2 linked regions of the Drosophila melanogaster genome follow. The protein of the gene in region 1 interacts with the protein of each later gene in a pairwise test. Each region holds a gene or a part of one and is shown in the gene's direction. Other genes may lie near its edges.

Region 1 (6,601 bases):
TCTGGACTCTTACAAAAGTCGGCGAGGAATCGAATCCGATTCGCAATAATCGTCGAACCTCTGCGTAATGAACACCGTGGCGTAGTTTCAAGACCCATCGAACTATCCTCAAGACTGCCTGCCGATAGAATCTATTAGTTAGTAAATACCTATTGTTGTGAGTAATTCGATTAGGATGCCGCACGTTCCGAACGACAGGGATCTGGAGATCTCCACCATCATCCTTTGCACCATTTTCGCTGTGGTCCTCTGCGGAGTCGTGGCAATGATCATAGGATACGTGATCCGCAAAAGGAAACAGCGCCTGGCGGGCAAGGATGTGATTGAAGCAAGTTAGTATAGTTCGATGCAGAAATCCTTTGTTGCTGTCCTGTGTTCTTCCCAATTGTCAGATGACGAAGCTCCGTGTGTGAAGTTCCTGTGTCTTGTTTTGTTCAACAAAATGGAGAACGGAGAACAATCTATTTAATTTTTTATGTTTAACTACTTAGTTTCGTTATTTATTACATGGTTGTAACACTACAAGATTGCCGAATCAACTGCTTAATAAATAAGAAAGTTTACAAAAACGACGACATTCAAAGTTTAAGAAAATTACTTTATATATAGTAGCTTTCTTTTCGTAAACAAAAAAAAAGTGGATACACTATTTGCCTTTGCTAAGAACTTAAAATATATGTTTTATTTAATTCTGATGTGAACAGAACATTAAGAACAAGATTTAAAAAAAAAGCGGATGCAGCCACTATAAGTCGTTTACAACATTTAAGCGTACTCAAAAAAATAATGGTACTTTTTAAGAATGTGGTACTGAAAAAATAATTTTATTTTTTTATTGCTTCCATGATTTTAATTTTCTACAAATTTTGGTTAAATATTTTGATTCATTCGGTGCATTAACGCTATGTTGCTGTTTTACTACGTTCTTAGTAATTTAGAAAAGTTTAAAAAACTTCTATTCAAAGGTCATAATTTTTGATATACACATAGAAAAGTAATGAAATCTTTTAAACTTTTTTGAGTGCGGCTTAGTGAGTAATGATTATTCTAATCAAATTTTTAAGCGAATGGTGGTATTTACCTTTTGTATATTATGCGTATGAGTAATTATTTAAAGTGATTTAAGATTTTAGTTTCTTTGCTCCTTTCGTTCGGATCGGTAGGGATTTGGAATTTAGCAAAATTTGACCAATAATGGCAAAATATACTTCAATCGCAGTTTTCTTCAATGTATTGTTTTTGTACTGCATTTACCTCTGCTCGATCGTAAAGTTTCCTTTTTTGTCAGCCTATTATAATTTCAAATAATTCAATCATCTTCGGTGTAATATTGTAGTTCATAGTAGTTGTCACTGCTTTCATTGGGAAATGGAGTGTAATTCTGACTCATAGTGACTAAATCATAAATTTCAAATCGATCGCAAATTTGTTTTTTTTATTGAACTACGTACTTGTTGTGCGTTGTAAATCTTAATAAATGTATTATACATTTGAGACCATTTATGATGTCACATATCAAAGACTCTATAAGCAGATGGAAAGACAAAGAAGACAAGAATTTATATTTATTGGGTATTTTAGCGGCTTCTGGTTGGTTATGCCTAAAAGTACGCTGCAAAAATGTGCGAATGGTTCACTAAATTACTAAAATTAAACAAAGAGCTAAGTAGTACTTGTTTCATCCATACTTGTTAAATACTGAAAATCCAGCTGGTTATATAAGTTTTCTGTATTCTGGATAAATATTTTACACACAGTCTAAACGATAACATGCATATTTTTTTTCGTCCGCTTTTTCTTATCGTAATAAAAAGGGCTTAGTGAATTGAATTTTTTCCCAGATTCAGTCCAAAAAGATCTGAGCTTAGACACACAGTTCGACCAGTTCATTTACTCAGTTCGTTGCAGTCAAACGTGTTTACTAGAAAAAAGATGCCTCCTTTAGAATTCCCACCGCCACCTAAATACGATGCTCCAAGTGTCGATAAACTTCCTGAAGCGGGTGCCAGATTAATAGCAATCATTTTTATGCTTTTTATCTGGGGCTATTGCAAGTGTTGTTGTTCTTGTTGTAAACGCAATAAGACGGAAGGTAAGAGCAATTCTTAACGTATCTGTACGATAAGCCAACTCTCTTATTTCAGCATCTATTAACACTCACAGATAATTGCAGTTTCAGATAGTTATCTTAGTCTATAGGTCGCGTTTGCAGTGCAATCATGAATTTTCTTTTTGTGAATGTTTTCAATTCGAATTCAAATGAAGACGACTTTAGTTTGATTATAGTGTTTGCGATTTTTGTATTGACCATTTGTATTGGGGCCATTTGTATATGCCTACGATTAAAAATTGGAAAGGAGATTAAAAACTGTAAAGGTTGGTAACCCATTATTAAGATACCGTACTTATTATTTTTATGCTGCTGTCTGCTTTAAAAAGAGACACATCTTAATGAATCAAAAATTTCCGCTTTATGTAGTTAGATCAAGTGGCATGTAGTTATTTTATAATTATAATTTTTAATGATAAAATTAACAACATTTTGAAACTATTCTGCGTATTGTCCACTTTGAGTCACTTTGTTCATTATTGCCACATGTAAATAGAGGTAAAAACTCACATGATAGCGGTATCTGCATCTAATACACTGAAAAACTTGTTTTTCTAATTAAATCCATTACTCGAAGACGTCATTCAAAGCGTCTGCATTAGATTTCCTAACTTGATCTTGTAAATTGATAAATATATGATAATAATGGGTATTGCCCAAGGTTTAGTGCTTTTGCTTCCTATCTGCACTGTCAATTTTATTTATGGTTCAAATATTCAAGTCATTGTCTAGAAGAAATTTTGGATTGTGTGCGAATTTAGTTCTTTAGCTAGAAGTAAAGTCTTTTGCATGAGAAATCCGAGTTAATATTAAAAGATGTAAGACATATTTAAGGCTTTTAATTTCCCCTCCAAATACAATTAAAAATAATTTCTTATCCAGTATCCTAAACTTTAAAAGCCTCTGTTGTGAAATAGTCCGGCTATCTTGGTATACTGAGATTTAGGACTTGGTTTGGAGTGGGTAATGACTGGGTGTTATTGTTATATTTGTGCAATATATGCTGATAACAACGACTGTGATTCCCTACTATTTCGGATTCCATTTCCAAATGTGCCACTAAATGCTTCGTTTACGCCTAAACGCAAATCAATAATTAGGTATTAATGGCTAATGGTCATAAAGGATTGAGTGTTGACGTACGTTGATCCCGAAATGCAGGGTAATTCAGAAAATGATTATGAAACCCATTTAGTTAGGTCGCAGGTCCTCACGATGAATGCCACCATATTGGATGTGTTTGAGGACATTTCCCAGCGACTGCACATAAACTGGACATTTCTGGCATACGAAGCTTGTATCCTCACGGTTTTGGTTGCCCTTGTTGTGATATATGCCTTAAATCTTGCTCGAAATCCGGAAGACTTTCGATATTGGAACAATTTGTAAACGTATTCCCGAAATGAATAACGAAACGGAGGTCAGCTCCTTGCTGGAGTCCCAGGAACGCTCTGTGGTTTTCATATCCGTTTTTCGCATAACCTTCAAAATATTCATTTTGGCATTGATCGGCCTGGTTGCACTACATTGGAAGCGTCGTCAGGCTCTCGGTGATTTAAGTAAGTTATGATAATGGTTGAAAGTGTACTGTTATCACTGATAAGTGCTATCTTTATGAGTGTGATTGCCCTTTTCTTTGGCCATTACTGGCACTTTTTCGATTGCCAATCCGGCGGCTTTAGTTTCTCGCTTTTGTTTAGTCTTTGTGCACCGCTTATTCAGTCAGTATCATAATCATGGATGATTCGGGCATCTACTGGATACTTTTCTTCACCTTCTCCGTATTTTTCATGACATCCGCGGCTGTATTTCTGACCCGTGGTCGAACCCGGAGAGCGGCGCTCACCAAGGGTGCAGGTGTGTTTTCGGGGATCACCCGTTTGTGGCGATAACGCGGCCGTCCAATGGGTTTCCAATATCTCCCATTTACACAAAAAAAAAAAAAAAACACAAAAACCCCAATGTCATGAAACAGTTGAAATCGTGAACTCCACGCTGTAGCACCAGTTCAGCGTGTATAGAATAATATTCGCGATGGAGCCGTTTGTTATTCCCATCATAGCAGTCTCAGTCTTCATAGTGATTGCCTCGTTGATGTGCCTCTGCTTCTTTTGCATAGCCAAGAAGTTCAGATCCATGGGTAAATAGCTGCAGCTACGGGAAGAGTTATTTATGTTTTATGATTTATGTAATTTTGAAGCTGTTTCGTACTGCCAATATCAGAGATAAACAAAACCATAATGCAAGTACACCACCCGCTTATCGTATTGGCCATAAAATCGAACATTGATTAGACGCGGTCCGAGTGAGTGGGTTTTGTCAGACATAGGACTTGCAGTCTGTTCTGTGTTCGCCTGGAAAGCGATTGTGTTTTTTCGAGCTAAATTCCCTGACTTATCGAGAATGTGGGCATTCTGGGTTGGATTATCTATAGCCTTTGCCATATTTTTCATTACTTCCTTCGTTGTTTGCATTAGACGCAGGCAGAAAGCAGCGCGAAATGTTGGCTACACAATCAGCGAAGGCGTTGGTAATTACATTGACTGAGCAATGAATGGATTGCCAATTACACTTAAAGAAATAGTGGTGCAGCAAATTTTGTTGAGCCTTATCTTATTTGTCTAAGTGTGAAGTATTTTCTTATTCTTGGTTTTCGATACAGGCAGTATATGTTTTAAAAATATTTTTTATATTAATTATAACACAAAATGTATTTATAGTGCATATAAACGTGACACGGGCTTGTTATTACCCTTTTCTATAAATAAATTGAGTGGATAAGATTAAAAGCTCAAAAAAAAAAAAAAGCACAGAAATTACACCAAAAAAACCCCAAATGAAATTAAAAAAGCAAAATATAATATACATCAAGTTTTTATGACTTACATTAATTTAGATTAATATAATATTGAAAATTTTTTATAGTGCTGAAAGGGGAATTTTTGTTCACACTGATGAGTCTAATCAAAAGTGGGAGCTTATCGAGTCTGCGATTCGCGGTTGGCGATGATTCAGAATCATTGGCGCAGCTATTTTCTGTTTCTAATTTCTTTTTTTCCGTTCTTTCTACTTTCAGCGCCTGTGGTGGTGACCTCCGCCACCCACACGGCTCCCGGCGGATATCCGGTCACACAGCTGCCTCCGCCGGGCTATCCATCGAGCAATGCCTACGTAACTGCGACCTCGTACCCCGTACAGACCACCGGGTAAGTACGGAGCCTAAAGTGCTGCCGCAAACTATTCTAATGTCCCCATTTTCCCAGCAGCAACGTGACTGTGCAGATGCCCATGCCGATGAGCCACCAGAACCAGCAGCAAATGCCAATGCCTATGCCGATGCCGGGGTAAGTGGAAGCTAGTGCTCCAGCGAAACGCAAATATTAATTGATATGCTTTTATCCATTGCAGTCAGCAAACGCATGGCGTGGCGTATCCGACGTATCCTGGCGCCGGGGCTGCCAACATGAATCCGCCGCCGTATGACATGTCCATGGCTAATCCAGGACCTAGTGTTATGCCCGCTGGATATGAGAAGCAAGCTCCCTACAATCCCCACTTTGGCCAGTGAAATCGCACTGTGAACTGAGGATCCCCTTTCCGTCTCGTTATAGCTTTTTTACTCAGCTGAACACTTTACTTTCCATGTTTTCTTGCATAAAAAACTCCAAACTCCTGGTAAAAAACCAAGTGAAAGCGATCGCACAACGAGCCATTTTTATATTCCATGTGATGTATGTAAAGTGTACATATAACTTAAGCGCAACCTTCTATTTATACATCTATATTAAGCAAATCCAAAACGAAAACCAAACTGAACTACATGAAGTGTTAATTGTAATAAACCAGTGAAGTGCACATCAAATGCAACTGAAGCACATTTGTTTCGATGTGCACTTTCACAAAATCACAAAAACAAGAAATGCAAACATGTTTTCAATTACTTCTGCACTCGGATGTTTTTGCCAATGAAAAAGCAGTGGGTAAATGGGTTTCTAAAGATTACTAGTGGATTTACATTCCAATCGAAAGTTTTTATTTATTATTTTCTTAGTTGAGATGCGCAATTATGTTTTATGTTTTTATTACCTTGATTTAATTGAGTCATGCGAAATTCCAATGTTTTACACATATTGTAAATTTTATATCTTAATAATAACCTTCTAGCTTTTTGGATTCCTTGTTGAATATGGCTGTCTGTTGGAAATAAAACTAGTAATAGCTCTATATATTATAGAATTGTCACGCTGCATTTAGGCAGTTACAATGGATTTTACGCTGTATAGATAGATCAGTTTTCTTCAAAATAGTTTTGTATTTTGACTCCAGCAATCGGCACCAGATGTTGTACCTTCTTTCAGTCCTTATAATAGTCCTTATCAGCCAGGAGGCGTTATCTACGGATTACTGCAACAAGGATCTGTGTCTGCCGGAAATAACGCATATCGCTTGCCGCAATTATGGCGTAAGTTTGGCTTCCCATCAAGTTGCTCA
Region 2 (4,907 bases), on another chromosome or scaffold:
GAAAGGGTTGTCAAGCAGTTACTTCCGTAATCTTATGCTTATTTAAATATACTATTCTTTAAAAAACTTATAATTTCATTTTAACAGAATATATTTATATATTTACAATAAAACATTATGCATTTTTTCTCTTTTCATGGAAATCCATAACAAGCCACAATCTTTTCAATTAACATTATCACACTATTTCATGTTGATTGCTGATTGCAGCTGTGCCTGCAAATGTTTTAAATCGCCCATTCAATAATAACTTTCATTTTATTGAATAGTTTTAGGAGATTACCATAACATAAAATAAACGTTCTATTCAAAGCAAATTCGCTAAATATTTCACTGAAAACATTTATAATTTTATGTAATTAAAACGTGAATTTAGAGTGAACTAGAAATCAAAATCAGAGTTCAAAATAATAGCTGGCCTATGCCAAAATAACATTGGAATACAGAAAATTCATAAATAAATCATCAATTTATCAATGCATAACAATTGCGCAATGTTAATTTTCAAACTGCTGTTTACCAATTTGCTCTTGAGTGGATTTGGTTTAATTAGTGCCGTTTCTGCTCTAACTGTCTATGAAATCAATTCAAATATCTAAACAATAAGTGCGTTCTGTAACCTATACGGCAGTGCAAATATAGGCCATAACCCATGCCCTCGTATTCACACATCTGAAAGTTATTTAATCCGCTCAGCAATTTCGATTGCCATTTATTCACTGGCAGAGTTCAAGACAAGTGCATTTCAGCATACCCGAATTCCACATGCGGACATAAATATTTGAGTAATTGATTTCCCAAGTCGACGATGGGAAAACTTCCAATTTCTTGGCTTGACTACTTTTGGGCCAATGCAAATGGTTTATTTTTGACCGCAGAATCCTTCGACTTGAGCGGACAGTTGAGGTTCTCGAACTAATTGCAAAATTGTCAATGATTTATTCAGTTGGCAATTAAGGTGCCAACTAACGGTGTGGCTGGCACGGCTATATCGATTTGAAAATATTCAATAATCCCGGAGCCTTGATAAGCTCATCAAACATGCACATGGCCATCAGCAGGGGGGGGCAAGTTTGTATTTAGAGCCAAGTGTGTTTGGTGAAGGGGGGTTAGCTGTATATTTCAGGGTTTCCCCTTTTTTTGTCGAGCGGTTTGGGGGGGGGTTTTGCGAGGGGACACAAAAGTACAAGTTGCTATGGATCAAGCTCAAGGCGTGGCAGTTGGGCATTAGCTCTATGGTGGAGCACGGCAACCAAGCGAACAAAGGTCAACTCGACAAGTGAGTTAAATGACAAGGACCTCACCTTGCCTTCCTTGGGCTTCGGCTTTGGCTTTGGCCCGTGCGTGTTTGCATGTTTGGCTCGATGAGGCGACGCGACCCCAAAAATGAAACTCAACTTTGGCTTTGACTGCGGCTCGGGATTGTGGCGTGCAAGCATTATGGCCTTTCGCTTTCAAAACAATGCCCCCATCCTGTTTCCCGGTTGGCCTAGTGGCACTTGCTCCTTGTTGTTGGTTTTTCGCATTGCCCTTGGCCAATTGCGAGTGAATTTTGATGTTTTGACTGGCCATTCCTGGGGCCATTTGACAACTCTATAAAACCGGTGTCCTTAAGCCCGCCCTCGTCCTTGCGCCCAACCCCCAATTACCGTCCAACTACCACCCACCTACACCCCGCTACACCCACCCACAAAGTAAACGTAATTGCCCGGAGAGTTTCGCGACTTTCGACTTGGCCAGCAAACTGAAAAAGCGAAACTTCAAAAAACCCGACTTGACTTGGCAACTGGAAAAGTGGAAAAGCGGAAGCACGAGCTTTCCCACCGAAAAGCTCTCGTGCTCTAAGCTTTCGTCCTGGCGAGGCGAAAACGTAAATGTCAGTCATGGAGTTCCAGTCGTCGGATACATGTGGAACACAACGAACACAGCAGGAGCCTCTCGCGTCTCATCCCCCGAATACAATGCGAAAAAGTCTGTACAAAAAATAGACAAATAAGGAGCAGGAGCGAAAACACCACTCTGTGCATAAGATATAACTCCCGCAGAACTGAATACCTGCAAAAAGAAATACGCGTTAAATGGAATTACGGTGCGGGAATTGATAAAGTGAAGTGTGTTACAGCTAGAAAGCAAGTGAAATAAAACGAATACATTAATAATTCATGCCCCTCATAGTCAGAAGCTTACTAGTTTGATAAGGAATTCAACGTAAATCTGATATAGTAATGTAGAAAAGTTGTACAAAGTAATATACATAGCATATAGCATATAGCACAGTTACACAGAACACACCGCAAACTCAAACAAAGTTGACAAAAAAAAAGCTCACGCCCCTCACATCTCAGTTTTTTCTCGAATTATTTGTGAAAGTGCAACAAACATATATAAAAAATAAAAAAGAAAAGGGAGGAGAGAGCACAGCAAAAAAAGGCAGTGACAGCAGGACCTGCAAAGGAATTGCCATCATTTGGGGATTACGGAATTATCGGGATCCGTTCTCATTAAAATGGATTTAAGGCAATGCCGATGTGCTGAGCTGCATTTGTGCATGGGATTATCGATTGTAATGCGCAGTCATCAAATTATGTTTGAACAACGCCGCCGCGACAGCGATAATAGCAACAATAACAACAACAACAACAACCAAATCAACAACAAACACTGATTTGGCCCCTGACCCCCTTTGGCAGCACCCCCTCCATCCAACACCCCCTACGACCCTGCCCAAGCAAAAGGAGCAGCGAAAAAGAAGAAGCGTCTTATGAAACAATTGAAGCACCGGCCAAAGGAGCAAAGGAGCAGACAAAGACAGAGACAAAAACATCGGCAAAGGATAAAACGGAGGCCGAGAAGAAGAGGAAGCAGTAGTAGCAAAGCAGGAAACAACAACAACAACAACCGCAACATCGCATTTTTAAACGGCAATACGCAAAGTAAGTGAAGTGTAAAGTGAGCGAGATGGCAATAGAAAGGTGTAGAGTGCCGCGAAGAGAGGCGGAGAGAATACACTTGCAAAAATGTGAGCAGCTAATTCCCAGGGATGTTAAAAAAAATTAAACCCTCATGGTTCAAAGATTCTAGGAGATGGACAAGTGATGAATGGTCAGTGGAAATATATGTATGTTTTAAGCCAAGTGAAATCAAAATGATTTGAGAAGTACAAATAAAAGAAAGAAAGGAAAGAATGATATATGATATTTATTGGTTGTAGTACAGGAAAATAATAGTTAAAATGATATCCCGGATTGATGGTCATTACAATGATCGTACCACAAAACTCTTTCTAACTCAAATTAAATTGTTAAAATTATTTTTCAATACAAATTTGATATATTTTTGTTTTTTCGCCGACAAGATGCATAGATCTTTCATAGAATCTGAAATCTATATCTTTTTTATATTGCTTTTGAGAAGAGTAAACCGATCATCATCTACGATCACTCCTTTTTGTTCTGTGTAGGTATGAAGAGAGCAGGTGGGAAGGCAGTGAAGTGAAGTGAAGCATTTGTCGCATTTGTGCAGAATTCCCGACGTAATTAATGTTTAAAGTCTGTGTGTGTGTATGTGTGCGAAGGTTTGTAAACTAGGTCACTAGGAAGTTAGCCCCTTGACGACCATCCCCTCTCATCAGCGCCTCTTCAGCGGCAACTCTACGTCAAAGGTGTCAACTCGCCAAATCTGCAACCACACCTTAGTTAAGTGAGCCACCCCGTAGCCACCAAAATTATCCACAGCACCACCACCTTTTATTCGTCCTTAACACACCGCCATGATTAACGCGCCTCAGTGCGATTAACTGGCAAACAAATTTGGAGTGACGCTGCGGCGATGTACATACATACATATATGTATGCATGTTTGTGCTAAACCGACAGCATTTCCATTCAATAACACACGCGGCTCGTATGCAAACACTGTAAAAAGGTTTTATGCTAAAAAAGACGCCGTATTTGTGCATGAAAAACTGTCATTCATCATCCAACCAACACAAATAACCGGTAATGGCATCGCCACATTATGGCTTTGTATTTTTTACATCCTCAAACACAAAAAAACTTTAGTTGATTTCTGACTTGCATCGCATTCATCACCCACTAAAGTCGAGCAATCAATCCTCAAAATACGTATACGCACTGTTAGTTCAGTTGATTAATAGGCTAATTATGAAGGAAACTGAAAGGAAACACTAAATCAATAAATCCTGGCAAATTAGCATCAGTATATATTTGTGTTAGTGCAAACATTTAAGTTTTCTATCAATTTTAAATACAAATATGTTCAGAATTAAGATATATTTCAAAGGGAACTATGCTTTGTTTAATTAAGATTTAAGGTTTTATAACTATAAAAGCCTTCAAAATGTGCCATCTATTTTATATTCACTTACAAGCAGATTTCAATCAAGACCACTCTTTAATATGATATATTATGTCTAGAACAACCGAGAAGGCACTCTTAAATTAAATATTTTAGTACCGTAATAAATTATGAAACGTGCTGACGGTAAAATATATAATACAATTCATACTTTAAGTTATATTTTTTTTTTGCCCTATATGGTTTTACGTATCGGTGTGTATGTGAGTACCTCGCACACGCAGGACATAGAGATAAAAAGGCTTCTCCCACATAAAAGTTCTATTCTGTTTTTTTTTTTTTATAGAAAAATATTGCTGGCAGGAGTTTAGAACATTGCCAAAGGGGATGCGGACAGATGAAGGGGCGGGGGCGTGGCGGGTAAAAGCCATAAAACTCAGGCGCCGAAGCGCAAAATGCCCTTGCCCTGAACAAAAAGAAGAAATTGAACAGCAACAACCAACAACAAAAACAAAGAAGAACAAGAGCAAATAAAATACAAACTGCTTATTTATTTATTTGTTTCGACAAATCTCAATTGAAACAAAGCT

Evidence for each region. Proteins that work in one complex are often made in the same cells at the same time.
Region 2: the proteins of CG17574 (region 1) and GABA-B-R1 interact in a two-hybrid assay, tested with the Drosophila melanogaster proteins (one large-scale study listed by BioGRID).

What each region holds. Positions count from the first base shown.
Region 1 is NT_033778.4:12,848,814-12,855,414, reverse strand, and holds CG17574 (uncharacterized protein), read left to right. Parts: upstream 1-1,874; 5' UTR 1,875-1,932; coding exon 1,933-2,092; intron 2,093-3,832; exon of another isoform or gene 3,833-3,846; coding exon of another isoform or gene 3,847-3,967; intron 3,968-4,071; exon of another isoform or gene 4,072-4,144; coding exon of another isoform or gene 4,145-4,250; intron 4,251-4,466; exon of another isoform or gene 4,467-4,513; coding exon of another isoform or gene 4,514-4,640; intron 4,641-5,186; coding exon 5,187-5,316; intron 5,317-5,373; coding exon of another isoform or gene 5,374-5,376; coding exon 5,377-5,454; intron 5,455-5,518; coding exon 5,519-5,678; 3' UTR 5,679-6,057; downstream 6,058-6,601. Other genes in the region: CG30486 (uncharacterized protein), read left to right, coding at 6,450-6,572.
Region 2 is NT_033779.5:15,014,464-15,019,370, forward strand, and holds the start of GABA-B-R1 (metabotropic GABA-B receptor subtype 1), read left to right. Parts: upstream 1-1,867; 5' UTR 1,868-2,933; intron 2,934-4,907.